Linked DNA regions of Oryzias latipes. The main gene of each other region encodes a partner of the protein of the gene in region 2 in a complex. Links are inferred from orthologs where the notes say so. Each region holds a gene or a part of one and is shown on either strand. Other genes may lie near its edges.

What was found.
Region 1: gemin4 (region 2) and strap share a complex: the UniProt entries of both Homo sapiens proteins name them as parts of the SMN-Sm complex. The link is inferred for Oryzias latipes from reciprocal best matches to the Homo sapiens genes GEMIN4 and STRAP.
Region 3: gemin4 (region 2) and gemin5 share a complex: the UniProt entries of both Homo sapiens proteins name them as parts of the SMN-Sm complex. The link is inferred for Oryzias latipes from reciprocal best matches to the Homo sapiens genes GEMIN4 and GEMIN5.
Region 4: gemin4 (region 2) and gemin2 share a complex: the UniProt entries of both Homo sapiens proteins name them as parts of the SMN-Sm complex. The link is inferred for Oryzias latipes from reciprocal best matches to the Homo sapiens genes GEMIN4 and GEMIN2.

The regions. Positions count from the first base shown.
Region 1 is NC_019881.2:4,533,505-4,541,453, forward strand, and holds the start of strap (serine-threonine kinase receptor-associated protein), read left to right. Parts: upstream 1-3,885; 5' UTR 3,886-4,163; coding exon 4,164-4,275; intron 4,276-4,699; coding exon 4,700-4,835; intron 4,836-5,557; coding exon 5,558-5,639; intron 5,640-6,362; coding exon 6,363-6,435; intron 6,436-6,512; coding exon 6,513-6,612; intron 6,613-7,949. Other genes in the region: protein bicaudal D homolog 1, read right to left, coding at 1,069-1,287. UniProt on the Homo sapiens protein: The SMN complex catalyzes the assembly of small nuclear ribonucleoproteins (snRNPs), the building blocks of the spliceosome, and thereby plays an important role in the splicing of cellular pre-mRNAs.
Region 2 is NC_019871.2:19,885,169-19,893,195, forward strand, and holds the start of gemin4 (gem-associated protein 4), read left to right. Parts: upstream 1-3,210; 5' UTR 3,211-3,281; coding exon 3,282-3,369; exon of another isoform or gene 3,370-3,421; coding exon of another isoform or gene 3,422-3,431; intron 3,432-4,143; coding exon 4,144-6,123; intron 6,124-6,364; coding exon 6,365-6,521; intron 6,522-6,591; coding exon 6,592-6,862; intron 6,863-8,027. Other genes in the region: tapasin-related protein, read right to left, coding at 1,845-2,174, 2,257-2,532, 2,603-2,779, 2,886-2,931. UniProt on the Homo sapiens protein: The SMN complex catalyzes the assembly of small nuclear ribonucleoproteins (snRNPs), the building blocks of the spliceosome, and thereby plays an important role in the splicing of cellular pre-mRNAs.
Region 3 is NC_019872.2:29,390,018-29,397,033, reverse strand, and holds part of gemin5 (gem-associated protein 5), read left to right. Parts: intron 1-2,333; coding exon 2,334-2,407; intron 2,408-2,607; coding exon 2,608-2,789; intron 2,790-3,202; coding exon 3,203-3,342; intron 3,343-3,409; coding exon 3,410-3,581; intron 3,582-3,651; coding exon 3,652-3,834; intron 3,835-3,904; coding exon 3,905-3,958; intron 3,959-4,028; coding exon 4,029-4,157; intron 4,158-4,277; coding exon 4,278-4,373; intron 4,374-4,441; coding exon 4,442-4,579; intron 4,580-4,790; coding exon 4,791-4,938; intron 4,939-5,012; coding exon 5,013-5,132; intron 5,133-5,206; coding exon 5,207-5,417; intron 5,418-5,494; coding exon 5,495-5,758; intron 5,759-5,834; coding exon 5,835-5,997; intron 5,998-6,260; coding exon 6,261-6,600; intron 6,601-6,869; coding exon 6,870-6,957; intron 6,958-7,016. UniProt on the Homo sapiens protein: The SMN complex catalyzes the assembly of small nuclear ribonucleoproteins (snRNPs), the building blocks of the spliceosome, and thereby plays an important role in the splicing of cellular pre-mRNAs.
Region 4 is NC_019880.2:19,641,246-19,649,352, forward strand, and holds the start of gemin2 (gem-associated protein 2), read right to left. Parts: upstream 4,990-8,107; 5' UTR 4,858-4,989; coding exon 4,736-4,857; intron 3,832-4,735; exon of another isoform or gene 3,817-3,831; coding exon 3,732-3,816; intron 3,603-3,731; coding exon 3,513-3,602; intron 3,429-3,512; coding exon 3,369-3,428; intron 3,288-3,368; coding exon 3,171-3,287; intron 2,075-3,170; coding exon 2,030-2,074; intron 1,114-2,029; coding exon 1,045-1,113; intron 857-1,044; coding exon 746-856; intron 242-745; coding exon 183-241; intron 1-182. Other genes in the region: transport and Golgi organization protein 1 homolog, read left to right, coding at 5,412-5,532, 5,675-5,808, 6,596-6,682, 6,820-8,107. UniProt on the Homo sapiens protein: The SMN complex catalyzes the assembly of small nuclear ribonucleoproteins (snRNPs), the building blocks of the spliceosome, and thereby plays an important role in the splicing of cellular pre-mRNAs.

The DNA.
Region 1 (7,949 bases), on a different chromosome or scaffold from region 2:
TCCCACCCACCAAACCACGGATGCTCCCGCTGAGGTCAACCTCAGAGCGCCTGCGTGGGTCAGGTGGGGGGGTGGGGGGTGTTCTAGCAGGACATTTTTGACGGACCGGCTTTTATAAAAGAAGATTCTCTCTCTTCGTCTTTCCTAGGAATCCACTAGCGTTCAGGAAAACTCTCCTTTCAGCAGTGTCCGTCCTCCACATCCGGCCCTTCCATCAGGAGACGGGCCGGAAAATGACAGACGGAAAAATCGACAACTGAGAACTGAAGCAGCAACTTAGCCTGCAGTCGCAATAAAAACAGAACAAAGCAGCGGGAGTCCCTTCATTCTTAGAAAAAGCGACAGCCCGTGACCCCTCCTGAACCTGGCAGGAGCACAGCTCATCTTCATCATCTGTCCTGGTTCTGTCATGGAGCTTTGTGGGTACAACCATCCCAAAGAGGAGGGTGGGGTGGGGTGGGGTGAGGCAGAGTCAGATGGGAGCTGAACATCCCTGCTGTGTTCTGCAGGCTTGAAGAGCCTAAAGAACCGACGGAAAGGAGAACTGGTGAGAAGATGGTGCTGAGCCCGGGGGGGGTAAGCAACAAGCTGGGTGGTCTAAGAGAGAAACCTGCAGGTGGACGTAAACACGGAGACTCGTGTCTGTGACGAAGATGAGGGCGAGGACGTGTGCAAGCAGGAAGAAGACTTTAGATGAGCCGTCCACGTAAACATGAGAGTGAAGGAGGTGGCAGTGATGAACACTGTAATCATCCATCACAAAGGTGATGAAGAGGGCCCCTTCTTCATCTGTCTGGTCTGGGTATCACAACAGACACCCACATTGGAGGAGAGAGCAGGGCTCAGCTGAGTGAGGATGAGGAGGCTGACTGATGAAGACTGGAGGAAGCAGAAGGTTCAGGAGCTGAAGAATTTCACACCAGATCTAATGTAGAGGACTAATGTAGAGGAAAAAAGGTATTGTTTGTTTCTTATGAAAGCCTCTACGCGTGCGCACCTGCAAATACTGTTAGACCAAAGCAGCGCGATGAGAGCGCGTGCGTTCCGGATGATGAAGTTGAGACTCACCTCCTGCAGCAGCTCCAGCTCCTGCCTTAGCGCCTCCTGCTCGGCCTCCAGCTCCGAGCACTGCTGCTTCAGGCTCTGGTTCTCCTCCAGAACCGCCAAGCCGCACTCCGCCGCGCGGACCTTCTCCCGGCTGACCTCCGCCAGCTCCCGGGCGAGGCGCTCCACCTCCGCGCGGTACGGCTCCGCCGCGTCCGCGCATCCCGCTCCGCCGGCGGCCATGGCGCCTGCCCAGTCCCCCTCCCCGCAGCCTCACCCCTACCCCACCGAGCCCCGGCGGAGGAGCACCACCTGCGGCCGACAGCAGCAGCCCCGCGGAGGATGAGATGATCTCAGCGAAAAACCATGAAGCGATGCTGCGCGCGCCGTCACCGCAGAGGCCGCGCGCCTCTGCCGCGGGTGCACTCTGTCATGGTCCGGCCCCCCCACAGCTTTTCTGCTTACTCACCGGCACCGGGAAGCCATCTGTGCCCACTGCCGCGGAGCAAGGCAGTGGTGGCTCGCGGGCTACTGCCAGAGAAAATAGTGCGCCCCCTGCAGGTCCCACTGCCGTCTCCCAACCCCTCCATCCCTCATCTTCTGGTCTGCGAGGATTCCATGGATAAAATAAATAATATGAAATCCATTTTTAATCCGAAATTACACCCACAACCCTCAAAACAAACACTTTAACTGTTGCTAAATAAACGAAACTGCATTTCTGCTCTGCAAAGTCACAAGCAGCCAGCACATGAATCATAGATTACTGTGTTGATCCTATCCATCACTCCCAAAGAGAACCTCAGCATCTTCATCTCTGCTACCTCCAGCTCTGACTCCTGACTTTTCCTCAGTGCTGCTGACTCTGGGCCCCAAAACATGGCGTTACTCTCTAAACTGTTGACCCTAGATATACTTAAATCCTCCACCTTCTATATCTCTTCTCCCTGTAACCTCACTCATCCACTTGGGTCCCTCTCATTCACACACACCTTGCTGCTGCTAACCTTAATTCCCCTCCTTTCCAGGGCAAACCTCCACCTCTTGAGCATCTCCTCCACCTGTTTTCTGCTCGCACTAAAAATCACAATATCATCTGCAAACATCTTAATCCAATGGGGATTCCTGTATAACCTCATCTGTCAGTCTGTCCATCACCATCACAAACACGTTTTAGGGCTCATTCCCAATACATGTTATTCTAATATTTCTATTCATTTTCATTTTTCTTCTATTAGTTTTTCTAGATTGTTAAGTCACTTTTCTTGAAAGCTGCTCTCCTTTTCTCTAAACTGAACACAAAACCAAATTTTCAAGCCACAGTCACAAAACGTCAAACTCTTTTTGCAAAACCAAAATTTTCACCTCAAAACAGTTCAATCTCTGCTCAAAATTAAACTTTGCTGTGAAATCGTGCCCCGAGTCAGTCAAAATTAAAAGCAACATTGAACTATCACTAAACACTACATGGAAAAATAGAAAACACAATGCTCAGGACATGAAGCTGGAGAAATAAAAGTTTATTGTTGACTGTAGGCTCAATGCATGTTGCAGAAAACTTGTACAAAAATAGAAAAAAAAATCTTGAGCATTTACACATAGCACTTGTAAAAACAAACGAGCGTTTGTGACTTGTGTAGTTACAAAAAGAATACACGGTATTCTAGGCCTACAAACTGTTATACCAACCCTCCACTACAATATTACAATATTACAGTGCATTAGTTCAGTGGTACAGTAATTTCTGGCAACATTTACTTATAATGCCAATAAAAGGCATTTTACCTGTTCTTTACCCTAAATCTTCGGATCATGGTGGACACAGTGAATCTACTGGCGTTTGGTTGTACCTGTTGTCCAGCCTCCCTCATGCTAATCCCATGGACAAGCACTTTGTCGATCCCAGTAGCTCTGATTTCATGAGATGTTACTGTTCTTTGTCTTTGCTGACCACCTCAACCACCATGAACTCTTCCTCTCAGATTTCTGTCCATTGTAGGGCCTCACAAACCAGTGCTCTCTGAACTGGCTTACTTTATATGTTCTCCCACAAGTGTGATCAGTTTTGAGTTGTTGTGTTCAAGTGGGGACACCTGTGCTTTCTTTGTGTTTGACTTTTGTCACCTGTGCACACCTTTATGCAGCACGGGTGTATCACAATGAAAATGTGTTGCCAAGTCGTGTCTAAACAGGTGAGAAGTACTTATGGTTCGGCCAAAGGAACGTTCGATGCAATCAGTGGGTTCAGGCAACTGGGCATTTGGTTCAGACAATAATAGGGTTTAGTGTTTTAGCAATTGAGAACAACTGTAAGCGAAACTTTTCCTGTAAACAATATCAATAAATTACAGTATAGGTACTGGTTTGCAGCAGTAAAACTATATTCATTAATGCAGATATATAAAATCCCTACATTATATAACAGACTCTTAAACGTTTGAGTCTCTGGGTGCTTAATAATTCCATATAATTATTTGACATTTAAAACAACTGAATTAGTTTTTTTTTATTATTATTATTATTTAGTTAGTTAGTTAGTTAGTTAGTTAGTTAGTTAGTTAGTTAGTTAGTTAGTTAGTTAGTTAGTTAGTTAGTTAGTTAGTTAGTTAGTTAGTTAGTTAGTTAGTTAGTTAGTTAGTTTAATGTACGTAATGTCCTGCTAATAAAAAAGAGCTTCCCTGTTAGAAAATTGAGTAATTCTTAGAAATGAACCATCTATTGTAACATTTTCTTTATAAAATTCAATAAAAAAAACAAAAAACAACGTTTTTCTCCGTTACTTTCATAAAAAAAAAACGAAAACACCTGACAGACGGATTTTATTGTGAAATTCCCCGGAAGTGTGTCGTGTCTCGCGGTTTTGTGTCGTCATCGTAACTGCAGTTACGCACGTTGCTAGTTAGTTGCAATGTTGTAGCTATTAGCGCGAGGCCGTTTCTTCTCTGGGGGGGCCAAACCCTGAAGGACACCGACCCCCGCTCCTCACACCCGCACCCGCTCGACTGCTCCCCGTTACCCGACAGCCGCTCCTCCGCTCCCGGTTCGTTAGCGGGCCCCGTTTGTTCGCCGCCTCCTTCCGCGAGCGCGACGGTTCCGGCGGCGGCTGAAGACCACCAACCATGGCCATGAGGCAGACCCCCCTCACCTGTTCGGGTCACACCCGACCCGTGGTGGACCTGGCTTTCAGCGGAATCACGCCTTTCGGATACTTCCTCATCAGCGCCTGCAAGGGTGAGCTCCAGCAGGCCGTTAGCCGGCGCGGGGTTCCGGTGGCTCGGCCGTTAGCGAGCCCCTCTGTCTGTGCAGGCAGAACCCGATCTGGTCGTGTGTCGGTTCTGACTTAAAACGATCCTAGAAAACTCGTAGAACAGACCTGGCGGATCCGGTTCTGATGAATGGTCTGATTTCTGAGCAGAACTCTGTCTGTAGGGAAGTTGTGGGTCTTACTGGTAACTGTAATCCATGAAAGTAACGAGAGTATCAAGTAAGGCTCCTCAGGGATTCCTCATCAAACTCTAGGAAAAGCTAGTAATTAATGATTATGTAACAAAACTCAGGACTTGGTTCAAGCCCAACAGTTACTTTGGCAAAAAAAAAGTAACTGAGTAAATGTAACTACCCGCCTCTGGTTCTGATCCAATCCCTTCTGTTAAAGATGGCAAGCCCATGTTGCGCCAAGGAGACACAGGAGACTGGATCGGAACGTTTCTTGGTCACAAAGGTGCTGTTTGGGGGGCCACTCTGAACATGGACGCCACCAAAGCCGCCACCGCCGCCGCCGACTTCACAGCGTGAGTAGATTTGGGAAACTGCCTGTTTTCCCAAGGAAAAACACGCTTCTTTCCTACTGGGAAAGCAGCCTTTTCCTCCAGGAAAGTTGTTTTAATAGTAGGAAACAAACTACTTTCCTCCAGGAAATGCACTGTTCTACCTGCTGGAAATGAAGAATTTCCCCCAGAAAATGAGCCTTTTTTTCCAGGAAACTTTTTATTTCACTGGCTTCTTACCTAGGAAAAAAGCTTTTGTTTTCCCCCCCTCCCCTGGAATCAGGGTTTTATCTAGGAAAGAAGCGGTTTCTTTTTCTCCAAGATAACTAGTTTCTGTGGATTTTTTTTTAAGAAGTTGGCTTATTTTTTTTCTGGGAGTCTAAACGTCTTTCCAGTAGAAAAGAAACTCCTGACAGTAGAGTTGCTTTTTATTTTCAGGCACCCTGACTTTGTTCTACCCTGAAAACTAGCTTGATTTTCCAGTGTGCCTTGGAGGCACGTTAGCCCTGGAAGTTGGGTCATCTAGACCCACTAGACAGTGCTCTGAACCTTTTTTCTTCAATGATTTGTGATCTTCACTGGTGTCCATGGATTACATGAAATCTTTCCACCTTTGTCATCGTAGGGAGAACACGTCGATGTAAGGGTGGGGTCATGTTGCTGCTTTGTAATCCGTTGCCCCCCAACACTGACCGTCCCTCTATGTTCCCCTGTCACACGCTTCTGACCGTGTCTGTTTTCTGCAGGAAGGTGTGGGACTCGGTCAGCGGAGACGAGGTCCTGTCTCTGGCGCACAAACACATCGTCAAGTCTGTGAACTTCACTCAGGTCAGTGTGGCGCCAGGCGTCTCTGCTTTCTTTGTCCGTGTCTGCGTATGCGGGTTTTGGTAGAACCGATGTGGGTTAAAGACCCCGTCCTGTTAAAATGGTGGTAATTTTTCTCACGACGGAGAACATATAGACAGAAAATTAAGCTCAAAATAACATTTCTGATGTTTAATTTTTCAAATCAGGAGCAGACACAAAAATGTCATATATGTGACGTAGGAAATAGGCTGGGGAGTCTAAAGCTTCCTGCTCTGCTCCATTCTGATCATCCACCTGCAGACAAATAGATCCATGAACGTCTTTGTGTTCCTGGTCTGAGCTGGAATCTGGATCAGGACTGGACGGCTTACTCCACACCACAACCAAGAGGCTCATTTCTGATGAAGTCCTGCCGCCCTGCAGAAACTATGTCCTGGAAAATGACCAAAAACCGCATCATCATCATCATTAGAACACTTTGAAAATAAATCACAAGATGATTGGAGTGGCACCAAACTGTAATAGTGGGCCAAACGTAACAACTTTAGCTCATCAAACATCACAGCAAACTGAACCGTAAAGAGGAAGTGCTTAACGCTGGGACACCATCTATACAATGATTGTAGTCACAAAGTGCTCCGTGTTCCTGCTGCTTTGATTTTACAAACATGAGACAGATAAAGCTCCTGGTGAACATTCATCAAGCCAGATGGAGGACAGTAAATCTGTGCTTGTGTCTGTTAGGACAGCAACCACCTTCTGACGGCGGGAAACGACAAGCTGCTGCGCATTTTCGACCTCAGCAACACCGACGCAGGTGAGATGCAGTTTGAAGGTACTTCTGCTAAACACGGCATCATGTGACCCCCCCTCCCCCCTCCCTGTGTTCATCAGCCCCACAGGAGATCGCAGGTCACGGCGCAGCCATCAAGAAGGCTCTGTGGTGCAACGACGACAAGCAAATCCTCTCTGCAGCCGACGACAAAACCATCCGGTCAGTTCTTCTCTGAACGTGGGTCCTGCCGGCGCTGCCGGCGCCCTGGACGGTCCCTCCCGGATGCTAGGAGAGTCCGAATTCCTTCCGTTCTCAGTATATAGTGCTTTTGACATTTTGTAGTTATGTCTGAATCTACAATTCCAAAATCCAGTGCACTAGAAATTTCCCAGAAGTCTCTGCGAAAAAGCAGTGTGCATCGATTCTCACTAGATTGGTGAATATAGACCATCAATGTTTTTATCTTCAGACGACATTAATAATCGTCGCAAAACGCTCAGATTGATTAAATTTTCACTTTGTGAAATTGATGACGTCTTATTTGCCGTTAAAAAGAAAAAAAGTAGTGAGCGTGGTTTCAAAATTGCTTCTTAAATCCAGGGACCTACATAGTGCTGCACTATAGAGTTGATTAGTATTTGGGGGTCAGAGTGGGAATTTGGACACAGCCTTGGTGGAAATGTGGAAGTGGTGCAAATCTCATGGTTTTTTCCTTCCACACGGAGCACATTTTACATGTCAAACACGTGTATCCTGTCTTTGTTTAACAAGCGTCATAGTTGCGTGCCGTCTGTCCAAAAGCGTGTTAGCCTGAAGCCCCGTCGTGTGTGGGCGGAGCTTCCCTCAAAAGTTTGACTCGACCTCATCACGGAGGACACAGACGATGAGAGGTCAGGTTTATTTATTCTGAAGAACTGTAGAAAAGCGTCGCTGAGCAGCAATCAGTCAGCGCCCCGGACGGCGGGAGGAGAACGCCGCCGCTGCGTCTGGAACCAGTGGGAGGGGCTTTATAGCAGCGGGAGACACAGTGAAAGAACTTAAAGTAGTGAATTCTGACATCCCCTAATTCTCTTCATTTTAAAAATATCATTTTCTTTGGTTTTCTAGCTGCAATGTGTCGTTATGCACTTCATGTGGTCCTCCTCAGTATTTTTTTATAAATAGGAATATCTTGAGTTCAAAGATGTCATTGTTTCTTATATATACAGACCAGACCCATTCATGTGAATAACAAGGTGTGTCCAAACTTTTGGTCTGTACTTTATATAAATCGGCCTCAATGGGCAAATGATTTAAAGTGATTTTATGTGTTCATACCGTATTTTCACGACCTTATAGGGCGCCATATCAGTTATGGGGGCTCTTTCTGTGTTTAACACATACAAAAGGCGCTCCAGATTTGGGCGCAGGCCCTTTCCATTGACCTTAGCGATCACTCCGGCTGGAAACGTCTCTTTAGGGAGAGTCTTCCTCCTCGAAATCCCCAAAGGTGGCAGTTTCTGTCCAAGCACAACAGTAAAAGCCCACCATTCGTGCCGCGTTGTGCGTATAAATCG
Region 2 (8,027 bases):
TCATAAATACGGATGGCTTGCTGCTTGTCCATGTCATATTCTGTTATACATTTATCCTGTTGTTTTTGAATGCACCTTAGTTACAGTGACAGGTTGATTGGTCAAAATGCATTATGGGATATGTGTGATGCACGTATTCCATTTTACAAGCAAACGAGCTCCACGGCCAGAGCTCTTTTGCTTGTCATACCGGAATCTGGGCAGCTGGCTGGCCGGTGTAGGTACCATAACCGTTCGGCCTGCAATAACCGTTCGGGGTCCTTTCGACTGAGGATAACATCACACTACGGTATCCCCACTTGGACAAACTACATAGCGCGGAGATCTGCTCGGGCTCTACATATTTTCATTTCACATTTCCTTTTGTAACCCAAAGTTATTTTCCCTCATAAGTTGTGTCTGACATTATTCTTTGCAGTGTTTATGGAGAGATTTTGCCACAACCCACTTTGTAAAAAGATCTGTGGCTGTTAGAATGAACCTGCTGTTCCACGCTAGAGAACCGTATCTCTGATTGGAGCAACTGGAGTCTCGTAGCTTCGTGTTCGCAGGCAGGGAATATGATTTGTTATAGTGTTCGGTCCGGAGAAGGCTTCGGACCGCAGTCCGTTCGGCTGCAAATGCACTTAATAAGAATCTTAACAATAATAAAAGAACATTTAGAAGATAATCTCACTCCATGTCAGAGCTCTGTTTGTTTACAATGGACCGCATAATATCTTCTTCTATTGTAGTTTTAATTATCCGATACGTCAACGGACAGCCAATCCCATAATGTGACGTCAGCACTAGTCGAAGGACCCCGAACGGTTGTTGCAGGCCGAATGCTTATGGTACCTACACCGGCAGACGGAGAGCCGCTGTGGTAGGGGGAAGAAGTCAGCTCGGGCCTTCGATATTCGATATTTTTCTTATTTTCATCGAGACAATAATATATAGATCCCCTAGTTTGATTCTTGTTTTTATTTTTCTGCATGATATGAGTAAAACTCGCGATATTAGCGATCAATATTGCGATGACGCTATAACTTGAGAAACATGAAAGAAAATAGCAAAACGACCAAAAACATAATTTCCATTACACTGCAACAGTTTAATGGAAGAAAGAGTCAACATAATTTAAATTATACTCCAAATGACCCTCGTCTACATAAGGAGGCAAATATCTAACATGAAAGAGCTCCATCCGATTGGTCAAATGCATAAATAGATTTATTTGATTCGCTAAATAGTTCAAACTGCCATAAGATTGTTTTTGCAAATTTAAGGTAACCGCTTATTGCTGTCTTTTGCGATAAGCATATTGCACAGCTTGATATTGCGATAACGCTAAATTTGCGATTTATTGCACAGGCCCAGAACAAATTAATGATTTCGTGGGAACACGTTTCTTTTGTTTTTACCCATCTCAGGTCACACGTATACAACTCCTAATTTTAAATAAGGGTTAATTTAATTTGAATTGTTGAAAGTTTAAGAGACTTTCTTTCAAAATAAAAGCTTTTCTTTTTCCAGCAGCAACAAAACACTCAGTACAGATAAGAACCCTCAGCAAATGATGCAATAACAGCAACTCCAGACCTTTTCTGAAAAGGTCACATTTGGAAGCATTTGTGTTTTTTTTTTTTTACTTCCCACATAAAAAACAGTAAAACAAAACAAAACAAAACAAAAGTCAGATGTGACACAAATCCCAGAAATAAACTCAAACACTGTTTTCTTCTAGCCTTAAGAGGCTGAAGAAGAGGAACAGATGTTTTCAGCTGGATCACCAACACTGTAGCAGTGCGACCGCTGATGGTAAAAGAAGAGGACAGATTACAGGTTTTAGATCATCTCCTCACCCTCGACGTGCAGGTTGAGCTCCATGTTGGCGAAAAGCGGGTTCACAGTCAAAGAACAAATGTAGCTTCCTTCGCTGCTCATCTTGGTGAAGGGGAGAGTGTAGGAGGCATCTCCCCCAGCCAGGGCCTTCTTCCCAACTCCAGAGCCATGAATCTCCCCGGAGCGGCTGTTGTAGCGGAAGAGCATCCTTCTCTCTCCGCGGGACTGCCAGTGCCACTCCACGGTGACGTTTGGGCCTCGGTGGTCGATGCTGAACTGACAGTGGAGTTTGGGCTGCGAGCGTAGTCTGACTTTCACAGATGGAGTCTCTGTTTTCAGCAACATGGCGACTATGGACACAAATAGGATGAACCCTCTTACAGGCCTTCGTTCTGACATGCAGAAGCAGCGTCAGATGAAGGGGACACCTACCTGTGGTGGTAAGAACCTCTCGGTCGGCGATGGGCGGCCAGCTGCGGTAGTCCTGCTGTCCTGGAGGAGGTTGGTCAGACGGATGTCTGAGGAAAGCAGTGACGCTGAACTTGTCCTTTCTGTGTCTGAGGATGCAGGTGTACCAGCGGTTGTACCCCTCTGCCCCCAGGGCGGGCCAGCGGACATGGATGCCCTCTGTGCTGTACCGTCGGACCTCACACTCCAACTCCTCTACCTCCACCCCTTCAATGGACCGCTGCAGGTCCAGTTTTGAAACTAAAGCAACATAAAAAGTCATGAATGTAATTCTTTCCTGCCCCGATTCGTGTCTTGGACAGAAGCTCACCAGTGATCAGGAAGGTGATGGCGTGGGGATTGACAGGAGCGTCTCCTTTTAGACCAAACTGAACCATAGCCTCTCTGGGAATGAGCTGTGTCTCAATGTGTCCTTCACTGTTGTTGGACACATGTTCGTCAGTGAACTGACATGACAGCCATGGTATCTGCTGAACGCTCCTCACAACTGAGAACACAGAAAAACTAACATTAAACACACCCTTCATTTAAATTTAGTTCCTTTCATGAACTAACTGATAGAACAGCTGCAAACATACTTTAAAATAACTTACCTCCAATCACATAAAAGTAAATAACAACTTTCTGAAATACTCCCATTTTGATTATTCAATTGAATTTCTTGGTTCACCTTGTTTCTACCAGCAGCCAGGATCTAAAAAGTACTTTCATTTTCACTTCTGCAGAAAAAAAACGATTTGCCTTTAGCTCGCGTCACATGACCTACAAGATTAAAACCATAACAAAAAAAAAACATTTTTATATATATTCATAAACACAATAACAAATGAAATGACGTTTAAATCTGATGTAAAATATTTAAATCTCGCTCCGAAGAAAAACGTTAAAACTGCAGTACCGAATTTATCCGGGTGCGTCGCTGTGAACAAACATCCGGTATATGCGTCGCATGGCGGAAGCGTGTTTGCGGCTGCGCAGTTCTGCTGTGGATGTTTTTAGTTGGATTATGTTGTTTCAGAAATCTAACTTTAAACTTCGGAAACCGTGAACGTAACGGCGCGTTTAGAGAGTTTCCAGGTAAACGGATTACACTGGTATTTACCTGCACGCAACAATTATCACGGTGATAATGGACAAAGGTAAAATAGCTTTTATTTTTACTCTCTCTGTAGACCAGTTAAGTCACTGACTTTAAGTTAAAATAAATTCTTACAAAAGAAAATATTATTTAATAAAGAAAAGCAATGTTTTTTAATTTAAATTGTTTTTCCAACACACGACGCATTCATACCGATTTACACACGCGGTGAACCGCTTTGAATTGTGGGAAACTGAGTTTGGTGTGGTAAAATGAATGACATATGGATCCCCTGAAGGGATTTGGCAAAAGGTGAATAACAACAAGATCTACACTGATCCTGACATAAAGACGAACGCACACAAACACTCACACATTAAACACAATAAAAACTATATGGCTCTGTCCATGAAAACTGAGTTATTTATTGGAGATCATATCTGAAAGTTGAGAAGAAGCTTTGGTGTTTTTATCTGTGGATACGGTGGCCCTGAAGTTCAAATCACATCCACAAATTACTGTTTTAAAACATCACACAGCAGTCCTGGAATGCAAAAACAAAATTGTTTTTGCAATTCTTGTTTCTTACTGCATATTTGAATGAAAACTTGACACCCCACCCCACCCCCCGCTTTAATTTTGTTTAGATTTATCAAATGTAACGTTTTCTTGTTATTTTATTGCTTTTGTTGTTGTTATCTTTAAGATGTCTTTACATTGATATGATGATGTGATTGGCACTTCAGGGCTCTGATTATGTCATGTGATTTCAGGCTCTGCGGTTCTGCAGGGGGCTTTCCTGCTGGCAGACAAACTGTGTCGCCCCTCATTTCTATCCTGCGTGAACAAATCCGACTGGATCGCGGCGGGACGCCCGATCCTACAGGCTCTGCAGGAAGTCTGTGAACTGGAGGAAGCTGACGGTCATCACAGCTCGACCTGGACGAAGAAGGTGGTCTGTGCTGTGTGGCTGAAGCTCTTGAGCGCTGAGGAGGATGTTGAGAGAGCGTGGAGGGAGAACCCCTTTTTTTCCTTCCAGCAGAGCCTCCCTGAAGTTAACCATGTTGTCCTGTTGGAGTTGGTGAAGAACGCTGCTGCTTCACATGTTTACGCAGGTTTTCTCCTTCATCTTCCTGAAGATTTGATCTGCTTGGAGCTGAAGAGGCTGGTAGAGCATGTGAAGAGCGAGCCTACAAGCGAAGAGGATGTTCATTTCTTTCTAGAGATGTGGCGGGAGCTGTGGAAAGGCCAAGAGCAAGCCAAGCTCAGAAACGACGAGAGCATGGAGATGATGTTTGCCAAGCAGGTTGCTCGTCTCACCTCCATGTCTTCTAGTTTGTCTCCTCAGGCTGCCAAGAGGTTAAAGCTGGAGACACAAGACTCAGCAGAGGCTGATGTTTTCCACATTCTCCTCAATGCCCTCAAAGACATGGCAGATCACGTCTCCTCATTAGACCTGTGCTTCCAGTCTCTCTCCATGTCCCTTGATGCTCTTTTTACATCATTTCTGATAGACCGAGAAGTTGTTCTATCAGCTCAGGAGAAGATGGACATCCTGTGTAAAGCCATCAGTACTAAAGGAAAGAATGAAAAACTTCAACCTGAACTTGTTGAAGAAGCTCAGAGACATTTACGGGCTTCGATTTCCCCGTCTCAGTTCAAAGTCAGGAGGATGGATCTGGGTGAAGCTCTGAGGGTCATAGCAGAACTTAGTCAGTCTTGGAAAGACCGAGGACTCTTGGACGTCCAGGACGGCTCTCGCTCCTCCTACTCTGCTTTCCAGCTGGAGCAAAGTGTCCAGAGAGTCTCCACTGCTCTGGAAGAAGCTCCCACAGCAGCGACAGAGAAGAACCTGCTCGTGGCTGTGCTGAAGTCTCTGGTTCTTCCTGTCACAGAGAGCAGCCCTGAGGTGCATGCTCAGGTGCTCTCCACCATCATCACTCACCGCCTGGAAGACCACGAGAGCTTCGCTGCCTTGTTTGCCAGAGAGCCGCCCTGGACGCACTGTGATGAAGGCTGGATGGATTGCCTGGAGAGGAGCCAAGCTTCCTTCCGTCAGCATGACGCCGTGATCGGCCTCTCCTCTACTCTAATGAACAAACTACGCATGGAGAATGCAGACGTCAGCCAGTGCAGAAAGCTGATGAAAATCATAGCAGATATCTTCTCCAGCCTTTCCTTAGAAGACATGAACAAAGCCTTGGTGTCCATGTTAAGATTGTCTAGGAAGGGCTTCTTCGAATTCCCCGTTCCTCCTGAGGTGGCTGGAGGGTTTGAGCAGGAGCTCAACATGGCCTTCAACTGCATCATCCAAGCAGGAAGTGGAGCGTCCTCAGCTGTTCCTCAAGGGAACCTGACCACGGCCGTCTCACTCGTAGCCAGAGTGGCTTTTCAGAACCCAGAAGGCGCCTTACGGTCCTGCTGCCACTCAGCTGTTTTCAATAAAGGAGCATTTTCGATGATGGCAAAGATCCTGCAGCATCTGCCTGGACTCAGCGGTCAGAGAGGAGGAGATGGAGATGGAAGGAGGAGCGGAGAGGAGAACACGGCTAAAGACGGGACCTCTAGTCTGCTCTGCAGGTGCCTACACCAGACGGTCAAGGACAAGTCCCTGTCAGCCAACGAGAAGGAACAGTTTGCCAAATTCCTCGGTCTGCTGATGGGTCCAAACGTGGACGAGGGAAAGGAACAAAGCTTCCTGTCACCTCAGGAGGTTATAAACACCTTCGTCCTCCCTAACCTTTCATCTGTAGGTGAGGATCCTTTACAATGTTCCTGACATTTGAAGAAGACTCTTAAGAATCTTTTATTCTGAAATTTGGTGTCAGAATCATCAGTTTGAACTGTTAGAAGTGGTGCAACGTTCATGAGCTCCTCATCTGTTATAGCCTCTAATGACTAAGTCGTTTTATTTTTGTACACTTTGATTTATCAGAATTCAACATTTTACATAATACGTCACATGTTCTTCATCCGTTCTCCACATCTGCTCAGGTTCCTCCTCTGTGGATGCAGAGTTGAGTCTGCAGCTTCTTCACACAGCTTTGTCCTTGGATGTGCAGCCAGGAGCCTCCAGCTCTCACTGGCTGATGGACTGTTCTCCTTTTCCCCTCCTTTTTGTTCTCGCTCAGATCCACGACCAAAACCTCAGGTGTTTGTTGGGATAAGATTTCGTTGAGTCTTCCTTGGAGTTCTCCTGTAATTCGTCTGCTTTCTGCCAGGTTTTGGGAGGAACCGCCAAAAGGTGGCGTCCGCCTCTGCTCTGTGGACACCAAGGAGCTTCTGGTGTCTGTGATGACCACAGTGGGGCAAGTGGTGGGTGCAGAAGTGGCAGCCGCCCCCAGTAGCTGGTCCAGAGCCCTCTTCTGGCTCTACAACAAACTGGAGGAGTTGGACTGGACGGTTCGGTTCCACCTGAAGCCGTTGTGGGGGCAGCACTTTAAAAACGAGGTGCCCTCATCTCTGCTGGATGTGTGCGATCTGCCTGAGCAGGTGAGAACTCCTGCAGCCCAAGTCCCAGTCCATTGAACGGCAAAGGCCTAAAGTGGGACACGGACACAGAACCAAAAACCCACCGACACAAGTTGGTGTCTCGATTAAAAAGGGTTATCCCTTCATCAAGTGAATCCTTGCTAAAAAAGACTGTTTTGCTGTTTAAATAAAAAAAAACATAATCAAGACTCTTTTATAAACAAAGCTGTAGACACGTACATCCATAGGGGGTTTGATCCATCGCCGCTGCATCTTCAAACTCATTTGTACAACATGCCTGCTTCTCAACTCCTTCACCCTTACTGACCCTTACGTGTTGTCGGTGTTCACTACGACCCGTCGCCTGCAGCATGCCCGTAGAAAAATGTGCATGAACTTTTTCTCTTTCTGGATTCACAGAGCGGTCTGCCACCTGGATATTTTGTGTGGGCCACCTGTGTGCCCCGTACAGGTTTGAGCATTTTCACCTGCAGACAGCCCGTGCCCACGAATTAGGGCAGTTGGGACTCGAGATATATTCAGACCGCCCTCAACAGTGCACGTTCAAATGACCACTTCCAAAAAAAAGTCAATGTAAACGCATGGAAAGGCACACTTCTGGCTTCAGTGTTCAAAACTCTCGCGTTTAAACTTGTACGACCATTTTCAGGCTCTGTGTACAAAGTGCAAGGTTATTGAACGCCGTTGAAAATGAAACCGTGTCAAACTTTGATCAATCAGGGACTTGGATTTGGTAGTGAAGAATGGATGGCGTCCCTTTAAGCCATGGACGTAGCAACTGTTTGAAAGTTGATCATGGAGGGGAATGAATAATTGTTGTTTGTGTCGGCTGGAATACTATGACACCAAGTCTTTCATAGATATATCGGATTGGAGCTGTGAAAGAAAAAGCCCTGAGCGATATTTGCACTGCTTCAACATTTTACACCAAGCCTCTATTGTAGGTGGCGGACATGCGCTAGTAAACAGTAGAAAAAGTGTGTCCACTGCTTAAGGCCTTAAGTGAACCATGAAAAAACATGTTTTGTCTTTGGAGCTGGATGTTTGTCCGAAGGCGTCAAAACTATGGGACTTTATGTCAGGTCACAGCTGAAAACAGTGGGGGGTGATCTCCTAAATGTGTTTGTGTGATGTTATTATTTGATCAAAATCTCAGCTTTTCTGT
Region 3 (7,016 bases), on a different chromosome or scaffold from region 2:
TGGCGGCGAGTTTCTGCCGTTTCAGGCTGAGAATGGCGGCGAGTTTCTGCCGTTTCAGGCTGAGAATGGCGGCGAGTTTCTGCCGTTTCAGGCTGAGACTGGCGGCGAGTTTCTGCCGTTTCAGGCTGAGACTGGCGGCGAGTTTCTGCCGTTTCAGGCTGAGAATGGCGGCGAGTTTCAGGCTGAGACTGGCGGCGAGTTTCTGCCGTTTCAGGCTGAGACTGGCGGCGAGTTTCTGCCGTTTCAGGCTGAGACTGGCGGCGAGTTTCTGCCGTTTCAGGCTGAGAATGGCGGCGAGTTTCTGCCGTTTCAGGCTGAGAATGGCGGCGAGTTTCTGCCGTTTCAGGCTGAGACTGGCGGCGAGTTTCTGCCGTTTCAGGCTGAGACTGGCGGCGAGTTTCTGCCGTTTCAGGCTGAGACTGGCGGCGAGTTTCTGCCGTTTCAGGCTGAGACTGGCGGCGAGTTTCTGCCGTTACAGGCTGAGAATGGCGGCGAGTTTCTGCCGTTTCAGGCTGAGAATGGCGGCGAGTTTCTGCCGTTTCAGGCTGAGACTGGCGGCGAGTTTCTGCCGTTTCAGGCTGAGAATGGCGGCGAGTTTCTGCCGTTTCAGGCTGAGACTGGCGGCGAGTTTCTGCCGTTTCAGGCTGAGACTGGCGGCGAGTTTCTGCCGTTACAGGCTGAGAATGGCGGCGAGTTTCTGCCGTTTCAGGCTGAGAATGGCGGCGAGTTTCAGGCTGAGACTGGCGGCGAGTTTCTGCCGTTTCAGGCTGAGAATGGCAGCGAGTTTCTGCCGTTTCAGGCTGAGACTGGCGGCGAGTTTCTGCCGTTTCAGGCTGAGACTGGCGGCGAGTTTCTGCCGTTTCAGGCTGAGACTGGCGGCAAGTTTCTGCCGTTACAGGCTGAGAATGGCGGCGAGTTTCTGCCGTTTCAGGCTGAGAATGGCGGCGAGTTTCAGGCTGAGACTGGCGGCGAGTTTCTGCCGTTTCAGGCTGAGAATGGCGGCGAGTTTCTGCCGTTTCAGGCTGAGACTGGCGGCGAGTTTCTGCCGTTTCAGGCTGAGACTGGCGGCGAGTTTCTGCCGTTTCAGGCTGAGAATGGCGGCGAGTTTCTGCCGTTTCAGGCTGAGACTGGCGGCGAGTTTCTGCCGTTTCAGGCTGAGACTGGCGGCGAGTTTCTGCCGTTTCAGGCTGAGACTGGCGGCGAGTTTCTGCCGTTTCAGGCTGAGACTGGCGGCGAGTTTCTGCCGTTTCAGGCTGAGACTGGCGGCGAGTTTCTGCCGTTTCAGGCTGAGACTGGCGGCGAGTTTCTGCCGTTTCAGGCTGAGACTGGCGGCGAGTTTCTGCCGTTTCAGGCTGAGACTGGCGGCGAGTTTCTGCCGTTTCAGGCTGAGACTGGCGGCGAGTTTCTGCCGTTTCAGGCTGAGACTGGCGGCGAGTTTCTGCCGTTTCAGGCTGAGACTGGCGGCGAGTTTCTGCCGTTACAGGCTGAGAATGGCGGCGAGTTTCTGCCGTTTCAGGCTGAGACTGGCGGCGAGTTTCTGCCGTTTCAGGCTGAGACTGGCGGCGAGTTTCTGCCGTTTCAGGCTGAGAATGGCGGCGAGTTTCTGCCGTTTCAGGCTGAGACTGGCGGCGAGTTTCTGCCGTTTCAGGCTGAGACTGGCGGCGAGTTTCTGCTGTTTTAGGCTGAGACTGGCGGCGAGTTTCTGCCGTTTCAGGCTGAGACTGGCGGCGAGTTTCTGCCGTTTCAGGCTGAGAATGGCGGCGAGTTTCAGGCTGAGACTGGCGGCGAGTTTCTGCCGTTTCAGGCTGAGACTGGCGGCGAGTTTCTGCCGTTTCAGGCTGAGAATGGCGGCGAGTTTCTGCCGTTTCAGGCTGAGAATGGCGGCGAGTTTCTGCCGTTTCAGGCTGAGACTGGCGGCGAGTTTCTGCCGTTTCAGGCTGAGACTGGCGGCGAGTTTCTGCCGTTTCAGGCTGAGAATGGCGGCGAGTTTCAGGCTGAGACTGGCGGCGAGTTTCTGCCGTTTCAGGCTGAGACTGGCGGCGAGTTTCTGCCGTTTCAGGCTGAGACTGGCGGCGAGTTTCTGCCGTTTCAGGCTGAGAATGGCGGCGAGTTTCAGGCTGAGACTGGCGGCGAGTTTCTGCCGTTTCAGGCTGAGACTGGCGGCGAGTTTCTGCCGTTTCAGGCTGAGAATGGCGGCGAGTTTCTGCCGTTTCAGGCTGAGAATGCCGGCGAGTTTCTGCCGTTTCAGGCTGAGAATGGCGGCGAGTTTCTGCCGTTTGTCCTGAAAGCAGCTGAGCTGCACCGACCCTGAAACTGATCTTTATCTCCAACAGCACAAGCTGTCTCCACACACCGACCTCAGCTGGAAGCCGGATGGGAAAGTCGTTGCCATCGGTAACGAGGATGGGTGAGTTGTTTTCACACGTGAACCCTTAGAAACGCCAACCAGACTTTTTGATCTAATGGTTAAAACATCTGAAGCAGAGATGAGGAGCGGTGGAGCTTTGAGGTTTTCTGTCAGGTTGCATCACAAAGTAAACATGTCAAAAGTTGCTTGTTTTCCTGGAAACTGGCCTCTTTCACCGGTCTTTTCATCTCTTTCATCAGGTGCATTGATGTTTTCCAAGCCCCCAACCTGAAGCAACTGTGCAGCGTCCAGCAGCACCACAAGATCATCAACTCGCTGCGGTGGCATCACCAGCACGGCTCCGCCTCAGAGCTGCACACGCTCCTGGCCTCGGGCTCCAGCAACGCCATCGTCTACGTGCACGACCTCCGCTCCGTGATAGGTGGGGACCTTACGTTCACAACAATAGTCACATGACAACACAAGCGTCCAATAAACGGCTCCAACCTGCTCTGAATCCTCCCAGTTACCCCACTGTCAGAGAGGATATGACCGTTTCTGGGATCCCTTCAGAATTCTCATCTTCTTCACCTTCATCCCATTTTGTTGTTTGGTTTCCTTTGGATCAGTTTATCAAACATCAACTGTCGTTCAGGACGAATACTTGCAGTTTGGATGTAGATTTAATATTTCCAGTTTTGAAACTTAGGTCTACAACTTTACACGAAGACGGATGGATGGATGGATAAATGAATCGTCAGATGGATGAATAGGTGGATAGCTGGATGGTTGGATGGATAGATGGCAGTAATTCCTTATGGAACCCACATCTTTACGAGTCTTCCTGGTCTTCAGAGAACCCTCCAGAGACTCCTGTGGTCCTGACGGAGCCGTACCGGCGGTTGTGCGGTCACACAGCCAAGATCACCGGGATGGCGTGGAGTCCACATCACAGCGCTCGGCTGGTCACGGCCTCGTATGACGGCACGGCACAGGTCTGCTGCTCCACACAGGTGAAGCCAAAATGCTGTTCTGAGGTCTGATGGGCGGGTCTCGTTTCAGGTGTGGGACGTCCTGGAGGAGGCGCCCATCTCTAACTACCGGGGTCACGTGGGGTATCTGCTGAGCGTGGACTGGTCCCCCGTTGATCCAGACGTGATCTGGACCGGAGGAAAAGACTTCACCGTGCAGGAGTGGAAGGTCTCCCAACAGGAGTTCACAAAGCCACCTAAAGGTGACGATGAGGCTCTGAGGGGGGATCCAGCCAGGTCCTCCTGCTCACGACTGACATGTTCTCCTCCCAGGGAGGAAGATGAGCACGCTGCAGGAGAAGAAGAAGTCCGGCTCCAAGCAGAAGAAGAAGAGCAAGAGCGCGCCGGGGCTCGGAGGAGATGTGGTGCCAAAGATGAACGGCGACGGAGAGAAGGATCTGTCTGAGGAGGAGGAGGAGGAGGTCGGCTCCACGAGCAGCATGCATCCTCCAGGAGGTGAATGCGTCTGAGGCCTGAAGGATTCATGTCAAATCGCATTTTTCTAATCATTTTTTCCTTTTTTTAGCATCTTTGGAGAAGAAATCCTCATCTGTCTCCAGAAGTAAAGAGAAGCCACCAGGTTTGTGTCTGATTCTTGTTCAAACGGCTTTTTCTTTGGGTTCTGAACATGTCCCTTGCTGGCTCCGCAGCAGATTTGAGCCTCCTGAAGAAGAAGAAGCCTCGCTCCATGCTGCCCCTCAGCACGTCCATGGACCACCGGCCCAGGGAGGAGCTGCTGCAGGACTGCGTCACTCTGGCCGCCGTCAGACACGCCTCAGGTGAGAGAAAACTGGCAGATGGTCTCCAAATGCAAAATAAAAATGTCAGAAAACTTAAACGAGCTTAAGTCTTCAGTTCGACCCTTTTTTCACAAAGCAGGGCTGATTGTGTGTTTTCAGCGCCACCTGCTGGCTGCAGCCCGGGACATGGCGACCATGTCCACCTGGGCCTGTTTGCAGACCGGCGGGCTCTGCGCCTCATGCTGGAGGCAGAAGGTTTGTTGGTTCTCCCTTCCTGGCTTTGGGCGTTTCAGCGTAACGTTCAACTTCCTGTCGACCCTCAGAGGAAGGTCACGTGCAGGCGGGGCACTTCGACTCGGTGGTGTACCTGCGGCTGTGGAGCGGAGACCTGCAGGGGGCGCTGCAGCTGGCAACGGAGAAAGGAGAGCTGAACGACCACCTGCTGTCCGTCGCTGCGATGGGTAAAGAGCGGGAAGATGCCGGTTGAAGTGTCTGTGCAGACGTCAGGAAGCCAGTTTGATGCAAAAAAAGAGAAGGTTTTGGCTGCTGCTGGTCTAAGAGCACTAAAAAACATTTCTCACAGGAAATTCTCTAGATTTTTATTGCATCGATAAAAGCTGACGAGGGGACAGGAAGTGACCTCATGATGTGTTGGTTCTTCACCTCCTCCAGCTGGTTTTGAGGCCTGGAGCCGCGCGGTGGAGGCCTACGTCAGGCAGCTGTGTCTGCAGGAGCAGTACCTGAAGGCGGCGTCCCACCTGCTGTCCATCAACAGAGTCTACGAGGCCGTGGACCTGCTGCGATCACACAAGCTCTTCAGGTCTGAGCCGCTCGGCCGTTTGACTGAAGGAGTTTGTGGAGCAGCTCCATCAACCAGAGCTTGTCGTTCGTCAGGGAGGCCATCGCTCTGGCGAAAGCGCGGCTGGCGCCGGACGAGCCGGTCCTGAAGGAGCTGTACGGCGGCTGGGCTGCGGTGTTGGAGAAGGACGGCCATCTGTCCGCAGCAGCTAAATGGTCTGAAGGGAAGAGTCCGGCCTCACAGACCAGCGCTCTTCCTCCGCCTGATCCGTCTGACCTGCTTCTTTCAGTCACCTCGCCGCCGGCTCCGGTTTCGACGCCGCCAAAGTCATCGCCAAGAAGAATGACGTCGCGTCTTTGAGGACGGCAGCCGGCGTGGCCAGGATCTCAGGGGAGGGGGCTCTGGCTCAGACGCTGGCGCTGCGATGCGCCAAAGATCTGGCGGCTGCTCAGGATTGGCTGACGGCGCAGGAGGTCCTGAGCGGTCAGGACGACCTTCTGGTCAGCAGCTCACACTCTCCTGATCCCCCCTGGAAAGGAACAGGAAGCCTCTCACCGAGATGTTTCACCTTCTGCAGGTCCACAGGCTGCATCTCTGCGTGGCGGAGCTGCTGACTGTGGAGCTGCGTGACGCCGGGGTCATCCCTGCAGCCTCCTGCAGCTCCACCCACACATGGGCGGAGCCAAGAAAACATCCCGCCAGCATCCAGGACCGAGTCAGAGACGTGTGGGAGGAGGAGTTTGGCATTTCTGCAAACGCACCAGAAGACGGCAGCATGGAGGCTCTCCTGCAGGAGCTGAGGTCCGTGGAGAGTCCGGCCCCCACCGCCCCCCTGAAACAGGTACTGACCTCCAAACGGCCACGGCGGCACAACGTCATCAGTCCAACGCAGGAAACTGTCTGTGCTTTCTCCTCAGGTCCTGCTGCAGGCCTCGCTCCATCTGACCCGCGGCGTGCTGAGCTGGATCCTGAACGACGACGCGCAGCTGCTGAAGGAGCTGTGGTGGGCGGCGGCCTGGATCAGAGACGCCGGACTCTTCTGCGCCTCCGCAGAGCTGTGCAGGCGGCTGTTCCCCGAAGGTCCAACACGCCTCCCTCTGAAGCCGTCACACGTGTTCAGACTCCGCTTCAGACTTCTGACCCCATAACGTCTCAAAACAACAAATCGCATTTTCTCTGAAGCCGTTTCTGTACGAGATCAAAAAAGTAGAACACAAACAGAAGAAACACGTGAAAAACTGATGAAGCGTTTCACAGAACCGTTGAGACGAGCTCAGTTTGGATTTTATTTCTGTGTTTCTAAAAATGGATTTAAAACAACATTCCTGTTTTCTGTCGTCTAGGTGATGTTGGTCTGTTCTCCAGGAAACGTCCAAAGACCCTGAAGGGGACCGAGGCTGAGGCGAGCGCTGCGCTCAGCAGCCTGCAGGCCTTGGTCCGCTATCACCGCCTGTACGAGTGCTGGTGGAGGAGCGCCGCGGAGCAGGTGGAGGTCCAAAAGGGAGCAGCGGGCGAAGGCCAGGAGGACTTTGAAGTGCTGCTGTCCGAGCCGCACGCCGCCTGTCAGAGCCTGCAGAGGTCGGTGCAGGAGATCCGGGAGCGGCTGGCGGCCATGGTGGCGCAGCACAGCCGAGCGCAGGAAGACCCGCTCCCTGTGGGGAACCAGAACTCTGCAGAGCACAGGTCAGATTCTGATGCAAACATCGCTCACAACGACCAGGCCAGGAAGTGCACGTTTTTTTCACGATGATGGTGTGAAATTTGAGTTCAGGAAGTTGGATCATTTGAATCATTTAAATATTAAAAAAAACATCACTTTGATCTGGTTTATGTTGTAAAATAAATGAAATACCTTAACCCTGGTCATGTTTCCGTCAGGTCCAGCAGCGTCTGCCATGGACTTTTTCTTCTAGTTTGTGCTTCATTCAGTTAACTAGAAGTTTTTGTTCCAGCTGTGAAGATCAGGAGACTCTTCTGTCTCTGTCCTCCAAGATGTCCAAATACCAGCAGCAGCTGGTCGACCTGCCCGACACCCTGAAGGTCGGCCTCCACTCCTCCATCTGGACACGCTCTCATGGGTTCTGTGTTTGATCTGGAGC
Region 4 (8,107 bases), on a different chromosome or scaffold from region 2:
GCTGCTGGAAAGGATTTCCAATCCACAATGGAATTCACTGAGCTCATTTTGTGGAAGCAGCCTACGTGACTATTGACCCATGGCCATGAAGTTGATCATGAAAGTCTGACTTGAGTTACTTGAATGTCTGAGGGAATATTTTTAGAACTGAAGTATTTTTAGTGCAGTTTATGTGAGGTTACCTGGCAGCCAGACAGATGAGGAGGTTGAGGTGAGCGAGTCTGTCGTCATCCTGGCTTTCCTGTACAACAAATAAATAATAAATTAAACAGAATAAAACTTGTATACAACTTACTGTTAGGATCTAAAAAAAAAAGGCGCTGTGTCTATTGATTTAAAAATGTGATCAATCTGTAGATATAGTAACTGCAGTTTAAAATACATTATTTAGAAACAGCCTTTAAGTATGTCAAGATGAAAGCAAAATGGAAAAGATACAGTAAAAAAAAATTCCGAATGGACTTAGTTTCCATTCATAAATCTGTATATATATATATTTTTATGATGTAGGGAATCCAGTGTGGGTTTTTAGGCAAGACCCTTTGCGCTGCTCCCTATCAGGGTCTCCCTGTGCCTTGAAAATACGGGGTTGTGTGGGGAAGGGCATCCAGCATAAAAACTGCTAAACCGCCTGTGCAAATTCAGTGAAAGCTGATTCGCTGTTTCAGCCCCTAACAGGATAAGCCGCACGGTGAACACAAAGGGACGTGCAGCTCTAAGACCCAAAGCAGTGTGAAAGTCTTACCAGAGTGCTGCGGAGTTGGGCACATCTTCTCGCCAGCTGGCGGATGGAGGAGTGTGCTTCAGGCAGCAATGGCTTCTCCAAGCAGGCCAACAAAGCATACAACCAGCAACCCTTGGAAAACAAAACAACCGTTTATAAAACAGCAGAAAAATTTTCTATGTGGGAAAGCTGATAAATACATCTGTCTTTTAATACCACTTGTGTATTTTCAAATCATTTTGTAGCAGTTTGTGGACTAAGAACAATTCACACTTTAAATAAGCTGTAAAATAAATCACCAGGAAATCTAAATAACTTACCAACTGAGGGACTAGTTCATGCTCTTCAAACCAGCTAATAAGAACGTCCAGCACCATCAGAGCCGTCGACTGAACACAAAAGAACATCCGTCATCACTGTTTCTCTTTAAGCAACTGAATCTCCACAAATTCACAAAGGAGAGAGACATTCACCCTTATGGACAGAATGTCAAACATGCTTATAGATAGGGAGGAGGGTGAGTTGTATGTGGGAATTGTTAGCATGGAGAAACCCCACCCACAATTCCTGTCATCCATGTGTACACACTTAAAGTTTGCCCATATTGCATGGATGAAAAATGGTCATATATGAATATACGTGGAAAAAATGAAAAAAAGTTGTGGTCTTTACACAAAATTTTCACAGATGCATTACCAAAAACCACGGAAGAAGTACGAATGAACCACGCAAAAAATGCATAAAATCTATAGACAACAAACTGTGCGTGATTATTGCGCTGTTTATATCCAATTCATTCGTGATTTGTGTGTCAATTATGTAATTTTAAAGTGATATGTGCGCCGTATACGTGATTGAAAAGTTATACATCGGTGGCACGTGTGTAAAAAGTCTGTTAGATATATGTGGAACGGTCGTTGAAAGACACAAATTTGCATATGCAGATTTACATAATAATTGTGCATAAACTACGTAGAACACGCATGTACTGCGGAATTTCTTAACGGACCAAAATATGTAAATAGCTCAAAACTGAATTCACATAAAGACCAAAATTTCATATGAAGAAAATGCAAATGTAAGTAGTGGCTATGTGACATACAAGGCCATCATCAGAAAATACCACAAGAACATGTTAAAAACCCAATTTTCATCTGAGTGGGTCTTTACTTCACATTTCACATCCACAAATTGAGATTTTGCCAAATCCCTGCTCCTTTATGTTCTACATTTTTATAAAGCTTATTTACTCAAAAGAAGATTGAAATTACTTTTTTATCATCTGTTCAGTTAAAAAACAATTACCTGGTTTAGTCTGCATACGATGGTTAAGAATGGAGGAAACCCAACCTGAAAAAAAATGAAAACAAACACATCAGTAAAATCTAGTTTTCACGTTGTCCCTCAATGTAACATGCCTATTAAAGTGCCTTATTTCTGGGGCTGGAGGGGGGCAGTGGAGGCTTCGTTAGTTAGGGGGACCTGGTTGGGCGCCTGGAAGTGGGCAGGTGGGGGTACTGCATGGTCTTGGGAGAGTTTGGTCGGTGCGGTTGAGGGGGTCTGGCTTGGCTTGGGGAGTGGTCTTTTCAGGGGGGGTTAGGACAGGAGGAGGAGGTGCAGGCCCAGGTGCAGGAGACCCTGGGCCTGCACCTCTGCACTCTTCTGGTCCTGGGACGGGGTGGGGCAACCCTCTTGGGGTTTGCAGTTGCTCTGGGTGACACCTGCCATGGCTGCAGGATCTGGGGGGGGGGGGGGGGGGGGGGGGGGGGGGGGGGGCTGGTAGACTGGTTGGCTCTGTCCTCTGGGAAGGGGGTCCTCCATCAGGATGGGACTACAGAGGGTTGGGGTCAGCAATGAGACAATCATGGAGAGCCCTGGCTGGTCAAACTGCCTCGGTCAAGTTGGTGTGCTTTCTTGGCTCCTCTCTCTTTATGTATGCATAAGTATTTTTGTGTGAGCTGTAGTTGTATCGTGTATGTGTTGACATATGGAATGTGAAGATTTCACACAGGTATGTTTGTAACATACCTGTTAGCTCCTTTTGACTAATGCCTTAATCTGACAGTAATAATGATAAACCTCCAGCAACTTTTTGCTTTATGATTCTGAATCTACCCCCACTCTACTTCTTTGATCATGCTCCAACTTCCTTTAACCCCCCCCCCCTTTTCCCTTTTCAAAACAGGTATACAAACATAATCAATATAAATAAAGTTTACCCTCAAATACAGAAGAGTTTAAATAAATATACCCCTTGTGTGTCAGAAGATTCATGACCCCCTATTGTAACAGTAAAATCTCTCAAACACAAGAGGCCTTCAGCTCTGATCTGTTTGCTCAGCTGTTGGACAGAACAAGTTAACAAAAAAGAAAAAAAGTCTTATTTGAAACTTTTTGTTTCAAAACTTTGGCGTTTAAAAATTCTAACAACAGTTTAGTTGACAACCTTGCTATAGTCCAGTTCTGCCTCTGGTTTTGCATCTGTGGGGCAGGCTGATGCGCCCAAGTAGATCCTCTCTCCTAAACAAAACTTCTTCCAGCCCTCCTCATCTGTAAGGTTTGGCTGTAAAAGATCACACTTAAATATTATGCAAATGAGCACCTTTGACCTTTGCTAACATTGCAGCGGGATTTGACATCTTACCATGCGTACATTATTATCCAGAGTCTGGCTGCTCCAATGTTTTCTATTCTTGGTGATGCTCTAGTAAATTAAAAAATTAGACATTATAAGCAGAAATATAAGTGAGATATAAAAGCAACACACTGTTCTTTTAGTTTTTCTTACCCGTCTCACGTCAGAAAAATTACTGACTTGTTGTTGTTGCCAGTGAAGGCTGGGGGAGAAACCTACTGGGGGAGCGTGGCACCCAGCTACCTGAGACAGAAAATATGGTTTTCCAGATTATCATGTCTCTTGGCTGCAGAGTCAACTATACATGACCTCACCACACAGACAAAGCCTTAACAAATAAAGATTTGACCAAATAAATAGATTTTCACTTACAGATACATGGACTGTTTGCTTCTTCTTTAGTTTCTTAGGGTCAATTTGAGCAACCACCACCTCTGGACACATGGACGCTTCCAACCTACATCACAAGGAGGTGAGGGGTCACTGGGAAACACAGCTAATATCTTCTCTTCAATTTCTAAAACGAGTCATTCACAGATGTTGAAATCAATAATCTTTTTATTAGAAGAAGTTGAATTTCTTGCTGCTAAATCTTTTTGGTATTCAACCATGGGTGATTTAAATTGGGAAAAGACTAATACTTCTGTTCATAAATACTGTATTAATATTAAAATAAAATAGGTTTTATTTTGCTTTCTACCCAGTTAAAGATACACTAAGAAGATTTAAAATAAACAGAACAATTTTGTTTTTTGCCAATCAAGTAAGGAGACAATTTTCATTTATTTATTCTTTCTATGTACACCAAGCAATTTTGGTCGGATCTGCGTGAATTTATAACCACAAAATTTAATATAACTCTCTGAATTCTTTTTTTAATGTCATATTATATTTTTAATTACATGGTTTGCCCAAAAAGGTAAGTTTTGTTACTGAACTGTTCATTATTTTTGGGACATTCCTCATTCATACATATAAGCAGTCCATATTGAAGGCGACAAGAACATTTGATATTTTAAAGAAACGGCATATTATATTTTATTTACTTATATTCTATGTTCAAAAATAATTGGACTGGACTGATTATTAAAGTACAGGTGGCACGTGTTGTGCAACCTGTGTAGTGTTTTCTTTTACCTATATTATTCTATTCAGTTAATACAATAAGTATTGATAATAAAGTTTGTTGAAAAGAAACAACAGAAACACTTAAATATACTAAGTGGAGAGCTAATTCCACGGTTCGATACATAGACTGTAAATAGGAACTTTGGTTTTATACAATTTTTTTTATACCAATGCTTTGCTATTCTAAAGCATTTTAATTATGAAAACACTGGCTTTCCACTTTAATGAGAACAGAAGGGAGAACTTACTGGACCTGTCGCAAGTACTCCTGGGGGTTCCTCGGTGGACCGCTGAGGTCTACGTGCTCGGTGTCTTGTCCTAACTCCACCGGAAGCAGCCTTGGCATTAACTCCTCAACATCCGACTTCATTTTCCGCTAATAATGTAAAACTCTTAAGCGAAATCAGGACATTAAAACGAAGACTAGGCAGATGCTAGTATTTACTGTTGTCCAACAAGCGCCATTTTGTTTTTCAAACTAGATTTGATGACGCCAATTTTGTGCGCGAGGCGAGATTTGTTTCCATAGTGACGTGACAGCGCCTGAAACTTTGGCAGCGACAAGGAACGAAGTCCACGAGCATTTTATGTTGCGCATTTAAACACGTTTATTATACCTCAATTCAACCGCAGAAGCTGTTTAATAAATAAAAAAATTTCAAATCAAGTTGGTGAATGAAAAAAATAAACTTTTGACATTAGAGCTAAATTGTTTTGTTCTGCAATCAGGTTACGAGCAACGTTGTTAATTATTAGCTTCATGCTAGCGTTATATCTTATCTCCATTCTTTCGTTTACCACTAGTGAGGTTTCATGAGAGAAACAGCACAGAGTCAATGTCCACTTTCCTGAACAGCAGGTCAAAGGGATTTCTTCTCAAATATGGGACTTTTTCTATGATACACTCCAGCTAAAGCACCCAAAATGGATGTTTCCCTGCTACATAAATTCTGTTGGATTGTGGGTCTAACGTTTGTGATTTTGCCTCTTATAAATCCAGGAATGTTATCCGACTACAAGATCTGTGGAGATTCTGAGTGTGAAAGTAAGTCCAAACACTTGTGTCAAAATAGTTTGAAGTTCCTAAAAAATACTGTTATATTTTATGCATGAATTTAGCTTAGTTGGTTTATTAAAGACATTTTAATCATTTTAATGCAACTGATCACTTGTGTTTGTGTGTGTAGGCCTAATGAGCAGGGTTCAGGCCATAAGGGACCACAAGAGTAACGACTGCCGTTTTCTAAGCTTCAGACGTGGAGATATCATTTTTGTCTACCACAAACTTACAGGAAAGAGGGAGGATCTGTGGGCAGGCAGTGTATGTCCAATTTTCATCTCTTTTATATCTCTGTCGCCTCCTTATCATGAAACCTTAATGTAAATTGTCCCTTATCCAAGGTCTTTGGTTGAACAAAACAATATTCCTTATTATACAAAAAGCCTTAGTGTTTATTTGGGATGCTGACATCTTTGACTTTCATTTAACCGTTGGATGGAAGAGTTTTATTTTGAATGTTTAAATATAGTCATGTTTAAACTAATTTGAAAATTCTGTTAGAATTTAATATTTTGATGCCTGTTCTTGTACTCACGCAATGACAATAATATTGAATCTAATCTAATTTTTGTGTTTTTGACCTGTTAAATATGAATTAGATTTTGATTTCTTTAGTTTCAGAGCATCTTATCAAAAGCTTGTTGCTTTTCAGCATTTAAGTTTCACATATCTCAGAAAAGTAAGATACCAGAACTAAGCAATTTTTTAAAATATAAACATTCCCAGAACTTCTTACTTTTATATTCTTGGATCTAAAAATCAAAAGGACCAACATTTGTTTTAATCTCCAAAGAAAAAAATGACACAGCCTCATTGTGGTTTTTCAGTGTCTTTTGCCATTAAAGTAGAATTAATGGATAAAAAAAAGTCTTAAAACTTTAAAAGATAAAAATAAAAGCAATAATTCCAATCTTAACCCAATGGAATATTCAACATCAAAATAACTGTCTCCTTTTTTTATCACTTTATTTTTTTCTTTTATATTCACTTGTAAAGGTTGTTTGTGTTTGTTGAGGGAAATTCACTAAAGTGTTTTTTAAAAATTCAGATTGACAAACAGTTCGGCTACTTTCCAAAGGATGCAGTACAAGAGGAGCAAGTTTTTGCAACCATGGAGACAGCAGTGGAAACACAGGTAATTTAAATTATAATCATCTTAAAATACTTAAAGCAGATTTATTTTTTTAAACTACACTTGAAGTAATAAATATATTCTTTGTACATTTGTACCAAGTTCTGATATGTAAGATGTTGTTTTCATTTTTCCTGCAGAAATCAGATTTCTTTTGTATCGATGAGTTTGGCTACCCCATTGATTCGGATGATGACAATAATCAGGAAACCCCAAAACAGGAGTCCAATATCAATGTTATCACTAAATATTTGCATGAAACAAATCCTAAAGGCCCCCTGTCCTTTGATGATCTCTCAGCCGAATCATCAGTTCCAGCACAGCAAATAGACGTCCCAAAGACATTTGGGGATGAAGCAGATCCACCTGAAGAAGTGCATGAGATTCATGCAGCCTCGAGCAAACAAGGTGGGTCTGCCTCCTCTTCCTGGCTGAGTTCCTCAGTGACAGGATGGTTTGGTGTGGAGCAACTGGACGAACTGCCAAAAGGAGAGGGTGAAGATGAGAAGACAGAAAACAAGGATGAAATTTCACTCACCTCCTCTGTTAAAGGATGGCTGGGTTTTGAGAGAAACAGTGAACAAGACAATGCAGATGAAAGTGTGACAATCCCAGACCAAACAACTGATACCATAGCCTCGACTGTGACTGGTTGGTTCAGTTTTGGGGGCAAGAAAAGATCAGACGATGAAAAAAATAAGCACGATGGAGAAGAAACAGATGAAGGGGTTGAACCAGCTGAGAAATACAGAGGCAGACGGATGTCTTTGGACCTGGAAGGAAGTCAGCTACATGAAGAAGAGAAAACTGAGATGGGAACGCTAGGCTGGTTGGGAAGCAAGCTCTCAAGTGGGATGGGATATGGATTGACTAATCAGAATGCAGGTGAAGAAAATAAGGAAAAGGAAAAACAAGAATATCGTTTTTGGCCAAATACAGGAATTGGGGACATGTTGGGCTTTGGAAAGGAAAATGAGAAAGTAGATCAAGATATAAAAAGAGAGAAAGAGCAGGGTAATGTCTTAGAAGAACCACTGGAATCGCATGTAGAGACAAAAGTACTGGCGGCTCCACAGATGGATGTAGCAAAGACTGAGACCAGCAAATCACCTCAAGAGGAAGGTGTTCAAAAGGATCCATATACCCAATCTCCAGAGGATGTGAAAGTTGACAGCACTGATACTGACAATTACAAAGTAGATAATGAAGATGCATTAGACAGAAATGAGATCAATCTTCAAAGGAATGAAGATAAACTCCAGGTTAATGAGCTTAATGAAAAGTTCCAGATGAATGCAGAAATGTCATCTTTGAACAGCAGGATTTCTCTAAGAGAGAATAAAGACAAAAATGACTCAGAAGAAATCCAAGTGAAAGAAAGTAGATCTGAAGAAATGGTCAACAAGGGCAAGGAGATCTTTAAATCGG